Schizosaccharomyces pombe: one gene and its partners. The protein of the gene in region 1 interacts with the protein of each later gene in a pairwise test. Each region holds a gene or a part of one and is shown on either strand. Other genes may lie near its edges.

What was found.
Region 2: the proteins of sad1 (region 1) and lem2 interact in a two-hybrid assay, tested with the Schizosaccharomyces pombe proteins (3 studies listed by BioGRID, with this or other methods).
Region 3: the proteins of sad1 (region 1) and apm1 interact in a two-hybrid assay, tested with the Schizosaccharomyces pombe proteins (3 studies listed by BioGRID).
Region 4: the proteins of sad1 (region 1) and get2 interact in binary tests that used the Schizosaccharomyces pombe proteins (3 or more experiments, as listed by UniProt).

What each region holds. Positions count from the first base shown.
Region 1 is NC_003423.3:2,301,415-2,307,695, forward strand, and holds sad1 (protein Sad1), read left to right. Parts: upstream 1-2,351; 5' UTR 2,352-2,767; coding exon 2,768-4,312; 3' UTR 4,313-4,343; coding exon of another isoform or gene 4,344-4,826; 3' UTR 4,827-5,247; downstream 5,248-6,281. Other genes in the region: DNA polymerase delta subunit Cdm1, read right to left, coding at 4,344-4,826; chaperonin-containing T-complex alpha subunit Cct1, read left to right, coding at 6,022-6,052, 6,101-6,148, 6,187-6,272.
Region 2 is NC_003424.3:2,231,874-2,237,718, reverse strand, and holds lem2 (LEM domain nuclear inner membrane protein Heh1/Lem2), read right to left. Parts: upstream 3,442-5,845; 5' UTR 3,122-3,441; coding exon 1,055-3,121; 3' UTR 946-1,054; downstream 1-945. Other genes in the region: RNA polymerase I general transcription inititation factor subunit Rrn3, read left to right, coding at 1-723; protein Edc1, read left to right, coding at 3,632-4,570. UniProt on the Schizosaccharomyces pombe protein: Nucleus inner membrane protein involved in meiosis. Plays a role in regulating nuclear envelope (NE) morphology and nuclear integrity, particularly during spindle pole body (SPB) extrusion or insertion through the NE, and perhaps during karyokinesis.
Region 3 is NC_003423.3:1,907,893-1,912,952, forward strand, and holds apm1 (AP-1 adaptor complex mu subunit Apm1), read left to right. Parts: upstream 1-2,248; 5' UTR 2,249-2,287; coding exon 2,288-2,349; exon of another isoform or gene 2,350-2,424; coding exon 2,425-2,530; exon of another isoform or gene 2,531-2,600; coding exon 2,601-3,248; intron 3,249-3,326; coding exon 3,327-3,791; 3' UTR 3,792-3,923; downstream 3,924-5,060. Other genes in the region: ribosome biogenesis protein Nop8, read left to right, coding at 240-1,676; fmo1 (flavin dependent monooxygenase), read right to left, coding at 4,244-5,060. UniProt on the Schizosaccharomyces pombe protein: Component of the adaptor complexes which link clathrin to receptors in coated vesicles. Clathrin-associated protein complexes are believed to interact with the cytoplasmic tails of membrane proteins, leading to their selection and concentration.
Region 4 is NC_003421.2:186,975-191,344, forward strand, and holds get2 (GET complex subunit Get2), read left to right. Parts: upstream 1-2,139; 5' UTR 2,140-2,284; coding exon 2,285-2,809; intron 2,810-2,869; coding exon 2,870-3,118; 3' UTR 3,119-3,427; downstream 3,428-4,370. Other genes in the region: vacuolar H+-ATPase assembly protein Vma21, read left to right, coding at 1,126-1,175, 1,349-1,440, 1,494-1,618; kinetochore protein fta7, read left to right, coding at 3,756-3,871, 4,049-4,205, 4,264-4,370.

The DNA of each region.
Region 1 (6,281 bases):
CACGAAATTGAATAACTTTTGTTTTACTTTTTTCTATACTGCTACATGTTTGATTTATGAGCGTTCACTCTTTTCTTACATAGACGAGACGCGTTCTTGGTAAGGTCAATGCGCTCGTGTCGAAATGTTTATACCAGCTGAGTTCCCTTATGTCTGGCGTGCACGTGTAATAAAATAATTGTAAAATGTATTTTAATTATTTTTTATTCAAATTAGTGTATTATTAAAGATTGTATGCAATTAAGTGTAGAACAATTGAATCTCATCCGTGTTTCGTGTCTTCCTCTACATGAGCAACGTGCCTAGGGCGAATTTAGCTACACACTAGCAATGGCTCTAACATATTAACATCTCTTACTACACTATGGTTCACTGGTTTTAACCTTACAACAAGCTCTAACCCAACTGTAACTTATAACCTTACAATGGCTCTAACCTGACAGTAGCTTGTAACCTAATAGCGGCTCGTGAACCTACCATAACTAGTGTGCTTTGTTACAAATCGGTGAATAAAGTAATTTTACTATTACCGTTTAGGAACATACTCATACAACTGCTCTTCGGCGTTAATATTGCGGTCCGACACGTTGGTTAATAAAACTATCTCCTCCGGGATTTCCTTGCTGTAGCCATTACGATATGCGACGTTGATTCACAAGATGTTGCATTATAGCATCCTGACTTGAACCACCTGCAAAAATTTTTTTCATTCTTAGGCGTTTGTTTATTTACTCACCACCCACAGGTGATAATTTGCTATTCACGTTGCACTGCTTTACTTACCGAACGGATCAATTCCACATAGCGAGAGATATCGTAAACGGCAAACAATGTCTGAATTTTCATATGAGTTATTCCACATTGTCAGCTCTATCTACTTTGATGGATCACAAGTTTTCCCGGATTTTAGGGTTGCTCAATAAGCTAACATCGGTTTCGGCCCATGAATGATGTCCAGCGCATGGTTTCTCGTTTGTGTCGCAACACCTAGTCCTGAAGTAGCTGAGTGAGTGTATAAGGTACAGAAATGAAATGAAGTCGTGAGATGAATACACAATCATGAGACATACTTGGCGCCACGTTGAGTAATTGAAATGATTGAACCTTTTTTGACGGTTGGTTGAGCAGATTGATTATTGAGGTTTTATTTATTAGGATTCATTATGTAGCGCACAGGATCAAATACTAGGTTGTGCAATACTACTCGACATTGCCTCAATTCATTACTTTCGCTAGCCAAAAAAACAATACGGGCTAATTGGAAGTTAAACGTGCCATAAATTTCGTCCTTGTTGAAATACTGACGTTTTCAAAGTTACGCATAGCTTGTCTTTGATTCCTTATATACAACATTGTGCAGTTTCTGTTGAATGTAGTGAAACCAAGCGATGAATAAGCTCAAAACATGAAAATTTTTCGTTTCATTTTTTTTTGACAGGACCGTATCAGTGTCGCAGTAAAATGGGATCCTAAGTATGCAAAAACAAGCAGTTAGTTAGACAATTTATGGTTGCGTATTGCTGCTACCTTCGCAATCGGCACAATATTCAAGCAATTTGAAAGCGACTGAATGCCCGAATTTCATTGGCTATATGATGAAAAGCGAAAATCCTACTTTGACGAACTATAAAGTATAATATTCAGCGGCAATGTTGTATTAAACAGTAGAAAGGTTTATTAAAGGTTTATTAAATGTTTATTTACTCAATTGATCATTGTTGAAATTTGCTTTTGAAAATCATTGGCGTAGATTCTCGTGTCGATGAAATGTATCCCTAACAAACGCAAAAACGTTTTTTCAATGCCTAGAAATTGAAGTCGTTGAACTACTACTACAGCAAAATGCCAAATCTGTTTACTTAACTGATTAAAAGTGAAACGATACTGAATACTTTTGATTTTTCAAATAAATTTGGTAGCATATGATCGGTTTCTTGTTCTTTTTCTTTAAAAATTGGAAATCTAAATGCAAACGAAGTAATATTAATAGTGGTAAAAATATTAATAGGTATGGAACTTGCTATTTTATAAGGCTGCTTTATTACTTGAATCCATCAAACTTCTCACTTCACTGAACAGTTTTGCCATGCTCTCACGAAAACTCCTAAATTACCAAACCTGTTTTTTATATAAACACGCGAATTGCTGGATTTGGATCCTATCAGCTTCAAGTACTTAATTCATCAGCGTTCAAACCCTCTTGTATTAACAGTCTACCATTTTTATTCATCAAATATTTCTCGCTTTATTTCCATATATTATGTTATGAATATTTATCGATTGTCAGCGATATATAACGTAGTAAATTCTTAGTGTATACACTTACCGTAAACACAACAAAACTCTTTCTCAGCAGTCAATCTTCGTACCGTCCATTTCTAGTGTGTTTATCTTGGTATTGTATCCTTTATTGTTTGTGAAGGAATTTTCCAGTATTGGAATTGGAATGATACCTCAAGAAAGGTATACTCTGCTAGGGTAGGATCAATTACATACATTGTGTGTATAGGTATCTGTTTTCACATAAAAAAGGCGTCAACGATAATTCGTCTGTTATTAATAATTTATACATTCGCATAAAGCGATCAAAAAGGCATTCAATTACAGAATCCTACTTAAGCTTCACTTTTTTGAATACGAACACTAATTCAAATTCTCGCCTTCCAATACTCTCTTTTCAATTTTTGTCTCTCTTTTTACATATTTATTTATCACTGATTCGTTTGTATATTTTTCTTTTAATTTTCAAATAGCCTTTTATACATCAATGTTTACTAATACACCGGTTGGAGGGAAAAGAGAGCGTCAAAATGGCGCTCATCCAGCTTGGTCGACGTTAGGAGCGAACTCTGCTCAGATTCATCAAAATACGGCTGATTTGGCCTCCAAAATGCATAAACTTCGCTATACAAAGATAAGGTCCCCTCCTACCAGGGTGTCCATTGAATCAATTACTCCTAAACAAAGATTTCCAGCTCCCAATTTCGAACAGGCTTACCACTCTAATATTCGATACGAGCAAGAGGAATCTGATAACGAAGAATTTGAAAACGTAGTGAAAAATGGACACGAAGCTTCGACGAATGTATTCTATGAATCAGATGGAGATGATGAAGAGTTTGTCAATGAAGAATACGAAAACAGCATCGACGAGGAAAGTGATGATGAAGGGTATAGCTTGAACGAGGATACCACCGCAACAAATGCCAGTTTTAGGTACCCGATGAATCAAAGATCTACAAGGAAATCTCAATTTTATTCCTCAAAATTTAAACCATTACTTTGGTTCGGTATCACTCTCTTTTCGACTCTCCTAATAATTACTCTACTTCACAAGGGTCAAGAATTTTACTCAAGATCATTTTCATCAGATAATTCCCAACCATCTAATTCGCCCGTACCAAACATTCCTCCTGCATCCAATGACACCAAAACAAGTTTAAAGCCAGATATTATTAAAGACTTCACAGATTCACCTTCTAAAGTTGGCGGCAATGAGGAATTCGATTATTCGACGGGAGATTTAATTACAAAAAAGGAATTTGACAAGATTTTACAACAAAAAGTAGAGCAATTAAAACAGTCGCTAAAGGAGGAGATGTCTAATTACAAATCATCGGTCCCATTTGAAGTTGAACTAAATGACGATTGGAAGTTCTTCATCGAATCTACGGTTCGAAAATACTTGACCGATCCGGTTTCCATGCCGAATTTTGCATTGCTCTCAACAGGAGCGGAAGTACTACCTGCCTTAACCTCAAAACGCTATGTGAGACGACCATCTGCATTCATACCACGATTTACCTCCTATTTCTTTGATTCGCTCGTTGTTAGAGGACACGAACCTAGCATAGCATTAACTCCCAACAACGCAGTTGCGATGTGTTGGAGCTTTCAAGGTTCAGAGGGACAATTAGGAATTTCCCTATCACGCCCTGTATATGTAACCAATGTCACAATAGAGCACGTTCAGCACAAGATTGCTCATGATCTTTCTAGCGCTCCCAAGGACTTTGAGTTGTGGGTTCAGGGAATGTCCAGCAAGATGTTTGTATTGTTGGGAAAGGCGAGATATTCTTTAACGGAAGACTCTATTCAAACTTTTTCGTTTGAATCCTCCAATTATATTGTCGCTGAACCGATACAGAATGTGATCTTAAAAATAAAAAGCAACTGGGGAAATCCCAATTACACATGCTTGTATCAAGTTCGAGTTCATGGGACTGTACCCAATGCAGACGAACAACCAATACCTTCTTTAGGTGAGAAAGCCGAAAGTACTGCAGAGAATACGGGTCAAGATTCATCTTAAAGACCTACAAAATGTAAGATATAAAAATAATCTAGCCTGGAATGGTTTGAAGATCATAAAAGAGCGATTCTCTTTTTCGATTTTCCTCATCTGCTTCCTCGAGCATCAATATCTTTCCCACTGTTTCTGGAGGATTTAAATTGAAGTTTTTTGCACGTTTCCAGCGTTGCATCCTTGTCATACCAAGATATGGTCCATATCTTGCCGTAGTGTCAAAGTGATGCAAAATGAACTCTACTTTGGTTATATTTTCACAATGTATTGGTTCACTAATCCTTTCAGCCATAATTTGATTCCAAGCCTCTTCTACCTCTTTTGAAAGCTCATCGTCTTCTTTAATTCTCTCATCCAAGGTTTTGGTTGTAATTGTAACATCGGGTGTAGGCGACTGTTCAGAACTCACTTTCTTCCCTATGTGGGATTGACTTGAATTACTTCGAACTACATGTGGAAACACGTCGCGAATATTAGTGTTTTGCCCTGATTTTTTCGCTTGAGTAGTGCGCTTCTTCATACTGCGTGATATAATTCTGTAACACTGCGGTACTAGAATGAAAGGTGCACTATAAATCCAATTCTTTTTCGTGTTTACTCAATTTAGAGCATTAGTTTGTTTGGCCAAAAGAAATCTCTGAAAAAGTACATTTGGTTGCAAGTGTACTTTTAATATGTATATATAACTTTAGATGACTACTATAGCGATGTTTAAAATGCGTCACGCTGACGAGAAAATAAGTATCCAGCCATCCGCTCGTTCTTTATCGTTATACATATATCAGCCTTCATATATATTATTATTCATTTAGGTCCAAGTATTTAAGTGCATTATTGATAATTATTAAAATAGAAACTTCTTGACGACCCCTATTTCGGTATTTCTAGTTCGTTGTTGGAGCAAACAAGAAGTAAACAATACTCGTTATTAGTTCAGATAGTATTGTGGAAATTTCATAATTAGATACAAGTATTTTAGCAATACGTGTTGTCTTAATCCAGCCTTGGTCATGCAATTGAATCACTTGCCAGCCTTCCTAACATATCTTTAATACGTTTCTAAAAAGGGTTTTGGTCTTTACCGATTTAAAATAGGCAATTTCGTAAATGCAAATAGATATACTTATTAACATTTTCAAAATTTAAAAAATTTATAGTTAAATAGCTTTGAGTATTGCAAAATTTGTCTTTTGTGCTTTGCTAAAACAGCGTAACTTTTTACACTGCAATTGAAGCACAAAGACAGTTGAAACTTCAATTCCCTTACAGCTTTTAGTAATTTAAGTATCTAGTTTCATTAAGTTGTCTTTTTTTAAGGGCTTTTAAACTGTTAGTTATACAGTGGTAAACAAACTGACCGGGCTTTCTCAATGATTAAACTGCACTATCATTAAATACAGTGTAGTCAACCAAATTGTTATATTTTTTAATGCAGTCGATAAATTTACATAATGCTTTCAAACGTGAAAGACATCCTTCGTAAATCAAAATTATTGAATTTGTTAATTGTCCCTATGCTGCAAATAGTGCACAGGTAGTTTGTGTTGCAGAATTTTAGTTTCCACCAAGAGGGTAACATTACGCTATATGAGGTAACACTTAGAGGGTTTGAATGCTTTTAGTACATTTCAAAGAACCTTCCTCCCTCGACGTCTGCCAAACGTGTAAACAAAGATTGTTAATCAGTTTAGAGGAGAACATCGAATCTAGCTGAAATGTTTCAAGCACCGAGAGAATCCACTCTTTGTAAGCATCCAATATTGCGCTGGATGGTAAATTATTAACATGTTGTAGTTTTGAGTGGTGAAAAAATCAGTGGAGAGGACGTACGAAACCAAAATGGTATGTTAATTTTCTTTTCATAACTTTTAACATTTTAGTTTTGGCAACGACCGCAATTGCGAATGTCGTCAAATCATCCTTGGGTCCTGTCGGGTTAGACAAAATGCTCGTTGACGATATTGGTGTATGTTAA
Region 2 (5,845 bases), on another chromosome or scaffold:
ACTCAATTTTTGATATTTTGGGCTTCTCAGTTGGATCCCGAGTTTACTGATATTTTCCTTGGAGTGCTTACGGAAGTTTGTCTTGACCCATCACAACCTTATACTTTAAGATTAAGTGGTGCAATGTATATTGGGTCTTACGTTGCTAGAGCCAAAGCTTTAGAAAAAAATACAATTCAGATCATCGTTAATATGATGACTCGTTGGGTTGAAGCTTACTTAGATCAATGTGAAAACGAGCTGTCCGATGATTTACTATCTAAACACTCGGTTTTTTACGCAATTAATCAAAGTATTTTTTACATATTTTGCTTTCGTTGGCGTGAACTTTGTGTCTCTGATGAGTCTGAATCCATGGAGCCAAGACCTAACGAATGGATACCGGGCTTAGAGATACTTCATCGGTCCGTTCTTTCTCGGCTTAATCCATTGAGATACTGTTCCCCCAATATTGTACTTCAATTTGCAAAGGTTGCAAATCATCTCAATTTTATGTACGTCTATTCCATTATTGAGCAAAACAGAAAAGGAATTTTTAGAGAAGGGTTCGACACTATGGATGCCTATTTTCCCTTTGATCCTTACCGGCTTACGAAGTCTTCTATAATTGTTCAACCATTTTATAACGAATGGCAACAAATTCCAGGTTTGGATGATGACGAGGAAGAAGAAGACACAGACTACGAATCTTCAACCGTAATGTTGGGTGAATCTCCCTTTTGAATTCCTTTATTTTTTTTTAAATACCCTTTCTATGTGACATGTCCTATTTTTTCTCCGCTAATTTCTTACTCTAGACATGCCCATATTCAATCAAAAATGGTACTGGTTTTGGTTTTTATTTTAAAATAATTTATTTGGTATAACTAAGAATCACATTAATATAAGAAATACAGTTAAATTTCATCAACCTTGCAAACAAGTCCTCATTATACCAATTTTATGTTTCATTTTTAATATGTATAAGCATTCAGATAAATATATTATTAACTTACTTTTGTATTAGCTATGAAAAATGTCATAAATACAAAGCTAGAAATACAGTCGAGAATCATTATTCACGTAAAGGGGAAGTTGTATTAATAAATGAACGATCGGTTTGGAAATCCAAAGTATTTGTGCCGACCCACTCCCATACACGGGTCCATTCGCCGTCTACTTCTGATTCACGAGTTCTTACACTGCCAACTTGTTCAACACGTTCGACTATTGCTTCCCAAAGAGTTCGAGCAGTTGCTTTCGTCATATGAATTTGTTCCAATGGGCCATTTCCATGAAAGAGTATATCATGCATTTCGATTAGTGGTATAACGGGTTCTTGAGATCGAGACATTTGATAATTTGCTTTCTGTCTCTTCAAAGATTCTACACAGAATCGAGAAGCCGATGGTAGATACTTTGCTACGATACTGCGAGTACGAAAAAAATTGATGAGCTTAAAAATAACTCCTGACAACGCAAGGATTCCAAATAAAAAAACTTTGTTCCTCCAAACAAATTTTATCAGTTGCTGTTTTAAACGACACCGCAAAGGAATACCTGCCCAGCTATCGTAGCAAATTAATTTTGAATCCATGACAACTTCATTCGTTTCAGAAAGTACTGCCAAAGAAGCTTTAAATAAGTCCTCAAACATTTCAAGGCCAAGGGTTGGAGATTTTCTTTCAAGAAGCGTATCATGTAATAATCCTAACGCAAATGGTTTTGATGGGAAGGAGATATGATCAGATGATATATTAAGATTATCGGCGACATAAGGGTGCGCATTGTACGACATATTTCGTTCCAGCAAATCTGACGAGTTATTGCTACAATGCAAAATTGCATTCCAGGATCTTAATACACTTAAACATTCTTCACGAAAAATATTAACACTTTCTTCTCTAGAAGTATCACTAACGCAATACTTGGAGGGCCAAAATCCTAAACTTGAATACCATGGTTCGTAGAGGACATATCCGGGCTTGCATTCAACGTAATTTGGAGAGGGACATATTGCATTCGGAGGGCAAGTTCTACACAATGATGGAAAACTTATTCCAAGAATTGAAGCAGAACTTCCACTGGCACCCGAATCACAGAATCCTGCTGTAAACATTTTCTCCCGTAATAAAGCCAGAAAAATTGCTGCCACCACTCCTAATAAAATCATAAAAATATGCACTAAATAAGAAGAAGATATCGCGCTGATTCCAGGAAAGGCGCGCAAATTGTGAAGAAGACGATAATTGGCGTACTTAATGTCGTGAAATACTTTTTTAATAAACGACCAAAGTTTGCTTTCTTTTCGAGTCTGCTGCAAAACGTAATTTTGAAAAAGCTCGTCATCTTCCTCAGCAGAGTCTACTTCAGAATAAGGCGATGAAGATTCAGAGGGCCTTGCACTGTCAAGAGGAGCAAACTCGATATCTCGAGAGACTCGCTCAGGAACATTAGTAAAGGGTCGTTTATGTTGAAGAGGACTAGAAGTGGCTGAAGTTTGTAGACGATGTGATATTTTGGGAGACCTCAATTGTGGAGAAAAATTGTTTGAAGATGAAAGCAGCTTTAACCTCTCCGAAAATGCTGGCGAAGTATGTAAAGCAGAGCTATCCATAAATGACATAGGAACAGCTACCCTATGAGATTTATGCGAGCGAAATTTTGGTGTAGACGCGTGGGCTGGCGGAGTTTTCATAGTCAGCGATGTTTCCACATTAGGGCTCAATTCAGAATAGGACTGAAAGGTATTATTTTGAGAGACGTGCGGAGACTCTATTTTAACCGGGGTTTCAATGTTGCTAGGTTTGTCAATGAATTGTGGAGACAGAAGCGGTTCTGTTTCGTTGTGTGGCTTTTTCGTGCTTTTGGAAGGAGAGGAGGGATAAAGGTATTTAGGAGCTATTTCATCCTCGGAGCTAGACGCTTTTGAGGTGTTAGAGTTTTCCTCTTTTTGAAGATGAGACAATAAATGTTGTGGACCAGAGCTTAATTTGTTTTTCCGTATTCTATCCACCATCCTAATATACTCTATTTTTCTGGCATTCACAGGGAATGACACTCCCGATTCATGAAGGATCTTTTTCAAGTCTATGACACGAAGATTTCGCAATTCGAAGTTAGGGTCCTCCCAATTGTCCATGGTGAATAATTCAAACTGATCAAAAATGGTATAAAGCTGATATAAGCTAGTTAATTACATGAATCCTTATCTACATTAAAAAGGAAACCTGGCATAAGTTGCTGATTCGTGAACGTAATTGCAATCCCATACAAATTTATAATATTACAGCAATGAGCTATAATATACTTAGGAAATTGCTTGAATTCCACTGTTCAAACACACCTTTTCAAATTTAATAAAAGACTTCACTAAACGAAGGTAAAGCAATTTCTTATTTCTCTATCTTTGTGCCGAATCTTTGTTTTCCTTCTTTCTTTTTGCCAGTTAAAGTGGGTGGCAAATAATGGTTAAGGGAAGAAAGCTCTATAAGGAGGCATAGCGCAGCTCATTGCTTTGTGTCACCTCAGCCCAAATAACGTATATTGGGTAAGAGTGTTGCCCCCGAAGTTATCCTTAACCAACATCAATCACTAAGAATACAGAATCCATGATCATTAGGGATTACTCGAATTTTGACTATAGTAAAAAATGCAAAAAGACATTGGACGTAGATTTCAACGTAATAAGAAGAAAATTAATTCTAAACCGGGCGGAGCAATGGTTGCTTCCAGCGATGTCGAGTTCAGTTTAGATGGAATGTCGATTATGCCCCAACGAGATGGTAATCTCCAGATACCTAACTTTGTGAAACCCAAGAGTACTTTTGCTACTTCTAACATTGGTGAAAGCAATGGTAAGCGAAATGGCGATAAAGTACGCGGGAATCGACGCTCTAAATCTGGTCACAGTTCGTATGCTGGCTCTCGTATCTCAGGTGGCAATTCTAATTCCCACCTTCCTTCTGGTGTTGCTTCGGCTCCTGCTGGCTTAGGAATTGATAAGGTTGCCGTCGGAGAAGTTGATTCTCATTTGAAGTCTGTATCTTCTTACGTTTCCAATTCTTCCGGTGCTGATCGATCTTTTTCTTCGAATTCCTCTTCCGATACTAATTCCATTCTTTACGCCGGTCCTACATTTACTCATTCTCCGGCCGCTTCTAATCTTCCCATCCCTACGTTCTTACACTCTCCCGTTTCCGAAAAGGCTGAATGGCAACCTCCTACTGGTAGTGTGAACTCAAACATGCCTTTCCAGTTTCATCAATCTTCCTCTGTTCCTTCAACCCCATCCGAAGTTGCCATGGGTCATAATTTTTGTCCGATGTCTCGTAACGATCCCTCATTGCAGAGTATTCAACAGACGAATGGATTTTACAGTGGACACAATTCTCCTCATACTAACTATTCAGCTTCCACTCCTTCTTTTAATCACTTCAATGCTGCCGGCCATCCCACTGGTAACATTACCCCTACTTTGAATTCCCCTAATAACGGCATTCATTGTCATTCTACTTCTGCCCTAGACTTATTGTTTCATCGCGATCGTGAACAGCGCTTGTTCCGTATGCTGCGTCAAGGAAGTGCATAGTTTCATTGGATGCTTATTTATGTCTAAGGACATATCACCTTTTTAAGCCTCGTGTTCTGTTCTAACTATTCCACTTTTTTGTTTCACCTTCTTTCGTCTCCGCGTTTATCTACACGTGTTCGTTGTAGCACTATTTATTTGAACATTGGCCAAGAGAATTTATCATAGTCTAGTATTTTTGCTAGTATTATGACTTTCTTACTATCACCCTATGTACCTCTGTCTTTCTGTTTTTTTGGATTATAGAATTTAGCTCTCTATATGGGTTAATTTTGTTTCCTTCGCTTTTGGTTTTTAGAGGATTTCATACAAAAGCTACTGAATTCCTTTTCTAACGGCTTATAGTTAAAAGAAATGCCAACGTTTTTAATGGATTTCTTGGATTTGAAATCTTGATTTTTATTGACTAGATTTCCTTAACTTCATCTTATTCCTTGTTAGTTAATTGAGCGAGCAATTCATTTATAATATGGAAATGTTCGTCAATGACTATTTATCGAAAATGTGCCTCGTTTACTTTTCGATTTGTATGCTTAGAATGGGCATTTGTTACCTTTTTTATGAGCGTTGGGTGTTATGATCTGCATATTGCATTAATTTTATTCTGGCTAGTTTTTATTATGCTATTAATAATCTCGTTGTGCTTTTATCGAGATTTGTTTGAAACTTGTTTCACCGGTCTCGTACATTTTTTTCTCTTGTGTTTTTTTCTTTTAATTTTCCTAATTATTACTGACGTGTTGCCTATTGCTTTGCGATGACAGTACATCTTATTTTCCTGTGTCGAGGATTATAGTTATAATCTTCTTTTCCTCTCATGAACTTGGCTTTGGTTGCCAACCTTTTAAACTTTCGTCCATGATATACATGATGTTTGCTAATATAAGTGATATTTATGTGGTCACCTTTTTTGGCGAATGTTGTAACCTATCTTCTACGCTCAAGGAGTACATGCAATGTGCTTTATGCTTTTTTTTTTTTGAATGTTTGCAATTTTCAAGCCCTCGGTTTTTGAGCTTTCATTGCTAGTCAAGATAGTCAACTTATCGTTGATTATAATATCTTTCACTCGCAAATCGTTTTTACGTAAAGACTGAATTACGGCAACATTTATTGCTCTTATTTGTAAATAGTTTTGGAATCATTTCTTTTTAAAACTTTAAATTTATCTCTTTCCTTCATTGTTTACAAATAATGTTGCATTAAGTGGTGATTTAGTTTTTCTAATATAAACACATATTTCCGTCACTGATGTGTCGCGTTTGTGTATTTATC
Region 3 (5,060 bases), 390 kb from region 1:
GAAGGAGAAAAAGAAGTTACAGGAGTGTTTATTTCCGAAAGTCATAGAGATTTAAACCAGTATATATGCTTTCCTTGTAAAAAATTTCATTGCTCACACAGCTCTCGATTCCTCATCTAAATAGCTATCTGGTAGCGATTGGTAGACTATTTTTTCGGGTTTATTTCCCATTATATTTCAGACACTCTTTTTGACCTGCGAAACTTTTTGTCCTCATTTTGTATCAATTGACTTCAATAATGGAGTTAGAAAAACGGATTTATGTTGGTGGCCTTTCATCCTCTATTGAATCTTCAGATTTGGAATCCAGATTTTCTCGTTTTGGAAGTGTTTCAAATCTTGAAATTATAAACAAATCTACTCCAGTAGGAACTATACAACGATTTGCATACTTGAATTTTCGAACAGATGAAGATAAATGGCAGAAATGCAAGTCTTACTTATCAAATGCGACGTTTAAAGGAAGTAAACTTCGTATAGAGGAAGCTCGCCCTTATTATTTAGTAAAATTGCAGCAGGAAAAAAAAATTGCTGATCTTCAAAGTACTAATAATGATGAGAAAAATGAAGATCACTCCAGCAAAGTTGATCTGGAAGACCCAGTCTTTCATGGAGAAATAATTGTTCCCGGAAAACATAGTAAAAATATGCAGGTGGTCACGGATTCTGATGTTCGGAAGGATCCTCCTAGAAAAGGTTGGAAAAAAGGCCCCTATGGAAGGGCCATTGTCGTGCTTCGAATGTATAATAAAAATACTAAGAAAACGAGGTTTTTTTATCCGCTGGGTAAAAACTGCTTACAAAAACTATGGGGCCGAGTGGAAACGAATATGGACAATACTACAGCTTTTTATGATTCTGATCATGATGAGTATGTATCATATGGGGGTAAGAGAGCTTCTCGTGACAAAATACGTATGCAAGCAAAATTGGGTATCAAAGCTTCTACTCAGAAGGATGATAACGATTTTGAACTTCTTAATAACACAACTGGGGAGATTGAAGTCACAAAAGAATTAAACGAAGAGCAATTGGATGCTTTGCGAAAAAAAGATAAGGATACGGCTGCATCTGTGTTAGCTGAACTGTTTGGTTCTGAAAATACAGAAGAAATTGATACCGTATCTAAAACTTCAGGTGTTTTGGAACTGGACAATGATTCGACTAATAATTTCCAAAAAGAAGGTTTGGATGAACAAGATAATTTACAAAAGGAAGAGTCCGTACACATAGATGTTCCTGCTGAATTTGAAGCATTTGATGAGCGTACTGCTGTTGTTAACGTTGACAATTTAAAAGAAATGTTTTCTTCCAATGCGCAGGATACGTCTAAGTTTTCTCTTTTTGGCAATGAAAATGGAGTTGGTGAGGAAAGTGAAATGGAAAGTGAGATTGATGACCGTAATTACGAAACTATGGAAGAAGAGGCAGATGGGGAAACTCCGCTAGCTATAGTTAAAGCCTCATCGGGTACCAAGGGTTGGCCAAAAATGTTTACTCTACCCAATCCTTCTTCCCTATTCCAACCAGGTAATGAAGATTATACGAGCAGAGAAGCTCTTGAATCCTGGTGGTCGGAAAATCGTCTATTCTTAACTCGTGATTACAAACGAAAAAGAAAAGATGCCGTAAAAAGACAGCGAAGGGCTCATGAAAAGCGTATTCGACTTGTTTAAAGACGCGTATAGGTTATGTATTTATTGGGAATTTATTTGGGTATTTTAAGGTTACGAGGTATATATTGATTTTTTACACACTTTTGGAATCTTTACGTTGTTATTTCTCTATCCTTTTTATTTTAGAAAAAAATCTGTGTCTTTTTAAAAAGCCACGATGTTCACTTTGGTTTTATCATTGGTGAAAGTTAACAACTTTTTTCGTTGCACTTTCTTGGGATTTGTGGCTTTTAATATTTACAATGTTTGAGATCAAATTTTATTAAAATATTTGTTATTCTTATTGTTATAAGCCAAAGTTGTCAAATAAAACATACCGAAATTTTCTTACATTGTCAGAAAAATTATTTTCCTTTTCGGCATTTACAAAACCATATAATGTAAATTAGTTATAATTATCTGAATAGATTATCTTATAAAAGAAGACTGAATGTGTGCATAGAGTAGTAATTACTCAATATAAGAAGAATTTCGTACTATATGTAAGAAACAGAAATAGTGAATTACGCTGTATTACACTAGCGGTGCTTAGGCACGGTGATGAGGCAGCCAACAGTCAATGCTAGTTATCCAGAGCGAAACTAGCTGCCTTATTCGCGGCTTCTGTAAAAATGGCTTCTGCTATATTCGTTCTGAATTTAAAGGGAAAGGTAATCATTTCCCGTGATTACCGGTAGGCAATTTTGAAATCTGAATGAAAATCAGATTGTCGCAATTCGTCGACAGGTTACTAACAGAAAACAATTAGAGCTGATATCCCCATGTCAGTAGTTGAAAAGTTTTTACCTTTAAAATCAGAAGTTGAAGAAGAACAAGGATTCTCCACCCCTTGTCTCACTCACGAAGGCATTAACGTATGTAAAAGTTAGATATTATGAAAGCCAACAATTCTTATTTTTTTATGGTCGTACTAACACTTTTCAGTACATTTACATTCACCATAATGATGTCTACCTCCTTGCTTTATCCAAAATGAATTCCGATGCAATGGAGATGCTAGTATTTTTGCGTAAAATGGCGGACGTTTTTATAGATTACTTTAAAGAATTGCAGGAAGAGTCGATTCGAGATAACTTTGTTCTTGTTTATGAATTGTTAGACGAGATCATGGATTTCGGTTTTCCACAAACAACTGAAACAAAAATCTTGCAAGAATACATCACTCAAACCTCAAATACGGTAAAAAAGCATGCTCCACCCCCCATTGCTATGACAAATGCTATCTCCTGGCGTTCTGAAGGAATTCACTATCGTAAGAATGAAGTATTTTTGGACGTTATTGAATCAGTTAATTTAATTGCTGCTGCCGATGGTACGGTCATTCAAAGTGAAATCTTAGGAAAAGTTCGTCTCAAATGCTACTTATCAGGAATGCCTGAACTTCGTCTTGGGCTCAATGACAAGGTCCTTTTCGAAGCGGCTGGTCGTACCATTAAAGGAAACACTGTGGAAATGGAAGATGTGAAATTTCACCAATGTGTTCGTCTTGCTCGATTTGAAAACGATCGTACAATTTCGTTCATTCCTCCTGATGGCGAATTTGATTTAATGTCCTATCGCATGAGTTCAAATGTAAGTTATTAGTTTGTGCCTGTTCTTTTTATTCCCTCTCTCCTTTATCAACGTTTTCTAATATTAATTTCTCGTTAGGTACGGCCATTAATTTGGGTTGAATGTGAATCCATCGTGCATTCAGGTTCGAGAATTGAGTTTATGGTAAAAGCTAAGGCTCAATTCAAAAAGCGTTGTATTGCAAATAATGTCCAAATCATCATTCCCGTTCCGGAAGATGCTGACAGTCCTCGGTTTCAAACTAGCAATGGTCATGTGCAATATGCACCTGAACAAGCTGCCATGGTTTGGAACATTAAGAAATTTGCAGGTGGTAAAGAATTTTTCATGCGTGCTGAAATGGGTTTACCAAGTGTTAAAAATGAAGATATTCAAGTTCAGAAAAAACGTCCTGTTCAACTAAAATTTGCTATTCCCTATTTCACTACCTCAGGGATCCAAGTTCGTTATTTAAAAATCACCGAACCAAAACTTAATTATCATGCTATGCCTTGGGTTCGATATGTTACACAAAATGGTACTGAATATTCCATCCGTCAGTAAATGTTTCTAATGATGGTTCTCCGTTCCGTTCTTTTTTCTACCTTTAGATACCTTTCCCTTCATCTATATATTTGTTTTCTTAGTGTACTGATCCCATTTATTACGAAATGAAATCTTGTTTGCAGACGCGCTAATCCTTTTTCTTACTCAGCTGACATAAAAGGAGCATTTGCTTGAAACATAAATGTCTAAGTCTATTTATTGTATAAAGGATAAGTTCAATGTTTTTATTAAAACAGAAATAAAGATTTTCTAACATACAATTCCATTTACTCAGTAGTGAATCTCCGTGTATTAAAAATACATAAAAGACAGATTGTTCCAAACGGTTTTCTAAACATAATAAATTAAAAACCAAAAGCGAGAGAATGAGAGGGAGACCGGATAGTAAGAAAAAGATTGAAGGGAAAAGTTTAAAGGTCTAAGGGTGTAATGAGTTTTCAAGTACGTATTTACTTTGGAGGTTCAATTCCGAAAAACTTAGCACGGATGGACCACATGTTTTCACGGATGCTTCGTTCCTTCTCGCCCCAATACGGTGACGGAAACTCTTCTTCAAGAACAGGTGTAGCCTGTTTACACCAGTCGTGTAGCTTGTTAATGTAGGTAGCGTCTTTTGGATAATCCAAAGAGTGATACATATTATTTGCTCCACTCAGCGAAAACATTAATTCGTCTTGCCATTTCAGCTGCTCTTCTTTGCTGGGTAATTTGAGGCGACCAGACCAAACTCGCGCGAGGAACGCTGCCTGTGCTTGACTAGTAGGGAAAGGAACAACGTGTAGAGCTAAACCAACAAAAGCCAGAGTTGGATCGGGGATATAAAATATATGTTGATAGACATTGTGCACATGACTACCATCATCAATCAACTTGGTTTCAGGGGATTTCAACTTAGCCAGGGAAGGAAATGGTACGGAATACAAGTATCCGGTACAATAAATAACTCTGTCAATATTAGATAACACTTTTCCACCTTTCAAGTATATTTCCCTAGTGGTAGGATCGAACTTAGTAATTTCAGGTACTTGTTGCAACGATTCATTCTGTATGTCCCCTCCACCAAGAAGACTTTGATATATAGGGTGCTTAGCGACTGGCGTCAAGTGTCGGACGAGATCGTTTGCAGAAGAAGCACCACCAACTACAAGTACTGATTCACCCACGAATAATTCTGGTTCACGGAATAGCGATGAGTGTAGAACTGACCCCGGCACGGCTTTAGCGTATTCATCGAGACCTTTAATATTGGGGATATAGGGTACTTCA
Region 4 (4,370 bases), on another chromosome or scaffold:
GTACGCAGAAAAAAAATAATGGACTCTTTAAATCTGGATATGTCTTAAGTTAATTAAAAAAATTTACTGGATTTTAACGGTAATTATCGCAATGCCGTATATACTTTAACCTGTCAGGAATAGTACACTACGCTATGCTACACTACGTTGCGTATCACTATATGTCATATGTTGGAATACTAGCTAAGATCCGTTTATTGATAATCACGGGTAACTATCCGTCTATATACATAGATACCCGTTGATAACAACTATTTAGAAATATTATAAATAGCGTTACAACTGAACCTCGTTCCTCAGTTCAGTTATGAGCTATATTAGTGATAGGTAACATTATAACCCAGTTAATACAATACCTATACTCAGTTGCTACTTATACAACCTGTGTATTGTAATATAATAGACCACAAGGAAAACTCACCGCAGTTCTACGTATCCTTAAATCAGATACCAAACTGCGTAGCTTACATAACCTAGGCTTGATCTTATCGTTATATTAAATGCTTTTTATTACCTCAAAAATCTACTTCAACAGTTTGATTTCAAGCTAAAATGGTAAATTTTAATGCATAAAATATACCCATTGAGTAATCTATTTGCTCTTTTTTTTATACCGCTCGTCCGCTGATGAAAACGTCAACATAGCAATGCTTGTATCAAGTGAAGATGGATGGTGTGAAATCACTTGTTATAACAGAGGAGTAATTGAGTATTGCTTTTTTGATCACCACTGTTTGATACACCCTTGCCTGCTAAACAATTCAATGTGAGTTTGTAAATTGCAGTTTTATTTATGATCATCGACCAAGCCCTAACATACATTTGTTACTCGATTTAATTTAATTAATTTAATATTTCAACAAGGAACTATGAATTTGGAGACTTTGTCGCCCAGGTATTTTATTATATGTAAACACAAATTAAGCAGGTCGCACGTATAAGTCTACCGTATGTTATAAACAAAGATAATAAATTTTAATAAGATGACAAATAATTTCAGGGACTTTCAACATACGAATATCAATTGTCTACTTTTCATGTTGACAAAACTTTGACCTCTTATAAAGCAAGGTCCCAATAAATTAGGTCTCCACCACCATCAACAACTTGCATTCGTGATTTAAAATGGAAAGGAAATCCCAAGTTTCAGATACAAATAATAACTCTATACCTACGTAAGTTTATTAATTATTAGTTTATTTCTTTACGCCGGACTGCGAATTGGTTTTAAGAAATTCCATACAACCTTCCACAACAGTCTATAATCTTAGGTCTCTTATATTGTTTATTCCTTTTATATTCTTAACTAAATATGTTGGAAATGAAAACTTACTAACTTTCGTAATAGTAATGTTCTGCTTAAGTTTGTGGGTTTTAGTGTCGCATTATTTACATTACCACTTATAACTTATTTTTGGACGTTGAAGACTTTATTCAAAGGTATATACTAATTGTTGAATAATTTTGATTTTTACTGATAAATTTTGTTTTAGGATATCAAACATTGTACGCAGGATTATCTGCAGCTGTAATGGTCAATATTATCTTGGCCTTGTATATAGTCGCAGCCTTTCGCGAAGACTCCGGGACTCCCAAGAAGGATATAAAAAGGGAATAATAAATTTTCAGTAACCATTTTACTACTATTTTGAGTTATGACTTTTGCATTTCAATTCTAAATCAAATTTTGAAGCGGATTTTCCTTCTGCCAACGTATTTAGGTGAATCATTCGATGTCTTTATTTTTTTTCGTTAAAAGTATCGCAAAATGAAAGACTTTAGCTGGGACTATCCTATAATCTACTGGATTTTGCATGTATGTCTATTGAATAAGGTGCTACCACAAAGCTGTTGCTGGTGATACTACTCCTTTTTGTATCTGAATTAATGAACGGAAATTTTTTTGTTTAATTTTTCGCTAGTCTGTAATGAAAATATGTGTCTGTTCTTTAGTTTTTTGTAGTTTCCCAAAAAACACGAATTAGCAAAATGCAATTGATATGGCAATTTCAACCAATTTTATAATTAAATTTTCCTTTTTATAATATAAGGCTAACATGTATGATTCTTATCAAACATAACAGCTGTAGGAATTCAGTATTCTTCTAACACTTATGCATCACTATTTTCTCTCACCCCAAACCCCTCGTATATTGGAAAGTTGTTCAAGTGAGCATTATTGATTTTTTCCCAATATAATATTGATAAAAATATATATCTGTAAAAAAGTTTGGTGTTAATTATTTATTTTATTCTGTTTTCTGCTGATTCAAAGACTTCGAACATGTCGACTGCCAGTGAACAAGCTCGACTTAGACGTGAACGTCGACTGAATAAAATCAAACAAGGAGGTGCATCTAGAATCAATCAAATTTTGGGACAGAATTCAGATGACAGTCAATCCGATGTTCGAGCTACAGCTTCCGAGGAAGCTGTACATTCTGAAACTGCAACACCAGTAACGCCAATGTCTTCAGGATTCATGGAAAAGAGAGATGATACCTTCAATGCTGATCAAGTGGAATATCTTCCTTCCCAAGATTACCATAATTTGGAAAGTTCGCCTTTTAAACTTCAGTGTGATTCTCCATATAATGTACCACCTGAAAACATGTTTAATCAAAACCCTGATTTTGCAAATTTTTTTCAAGCTATGTTACAATCCGCAAAGGAGGGATCTGATACAAATTTTCAAGGTGAAAACGAACAAATTCCTCAAGCTACAGCTCCTTTAAAAAACTTAGTTGAGAAATATGCTCATCTTTTGGCAATTTCTATAGTAGTGATTGTTTGTTATTTTAAACATTTGGTAAGTCCTCATCTTCCTTTTTTGAAATTGTTTTTTTGCATACTAATATATTTATTTCAGCCATTACTTCCGTGGACATTTACTGTCGAAGCTTGCTTGTTCTCTATTCAATTTGTTTTGGACCGTAATAATGGACCTTCTTATTCTCTTCTAGCATCTCTGGCCTCTCAGCTTCCCCCTCCCTATGGAGCAATGATCCGTCATACAACAAGTTATGTTCCGTATTTCACACAATTGATTACAGATGCGTGTATGACAATATTTGCGTTAGGTTTATGTTGCTATTTTTATCCGTCGTTGGTGTATTAATAGTTGTTAATTTTCAGCATTTACTATTTATGAATCTTGGTTTTGCTTCGCAAATTGGTGATCGATTAATTAGCATTCAATTTTTGTTTAGATGAAATAAACTAACTGATTAAGCGAGAAAGACTTTTCAAACCCTTAGGAATTCAATTTTATATTATCTTTTCAACATCTAAACGATTTATATTCTAAAACATACTGCACTTCATTTGAACTGCTTTGCAACACATGCCATATTTACGATTGTCGGTACGTTTTATTTATTTTCTCTTTTAATTCAATGGTAGCAATAGTATATGATTTAAAAAGCTCTGTTTATTGTAATTGTAGTATTAATTAAAAACAGACTACTTAAAGTAATTTCTGGGATAGCTGTGAAAACATTATAACTATGATTTTTAAAATCTTTTATCAACTTATTATTGAAATAAAATAAGTAATTGAGAATTGGCTTGGTTGACTGTATATATGTAAAACAACTTCGTCCGAAGCGCTACAACAGCATGCAAACGTTGAAACGGCGAATTCTTGTTATAGAGAAATTTTTCATATAAAACCATACGTACATATTTTGCTATTTAAGTTCCAGATTGCTTAAAAGAAAATTGAAGTGGTAGCACCATTTTTATAAATATATGCAATGGAAATGAAAAGGCGCGTTCGCGCGGTGCGTCGAGACCAAATTCAAAAAAGATGGCGTCCATTAGAGGATAAGCAGCGCCAAGAAATAATAATTATTTTTAGGACGTGTTCAAGGTAAGTAATTGAGAATCATGTTATTGCTAAAAGTGCTTGTGCTTTTTAGCGCTTACTTGTGTACTGAAAGGGAAATCAAAGTTTGCTGTTGATGTTTACCTGGAAAAGTCTTTTAAGTACTTTTCCAAATTTTTTTAGTCATTATGTGTACGTATGCTAACTGTGCTATCGTAACAGATTGGTTTTGAATACAATAAAATCAGAAACAAGAAAATCTTTGGCCGAGGAATGGTTCATGAATATACTTTTAAAAATCGAAGCTCCTCTGAGAAATTTGCCTGTACCAAGGAAAAGAAAAGAGTCAATACTGTTCTCTCAATTACTTTCTTCGAATGTAAGTTATTAAGTCTTGATACGCATACATACGAAAGAGATATGACTAACATTTTTAGATGCAATTGGAACAGCAATTATACAGTGATTTGGACCATATTAACGTACTTCAACAGGAATTGAAGGTTGAAACTGCTCGTTTGGAGAATGAACAGAAATCTTACGA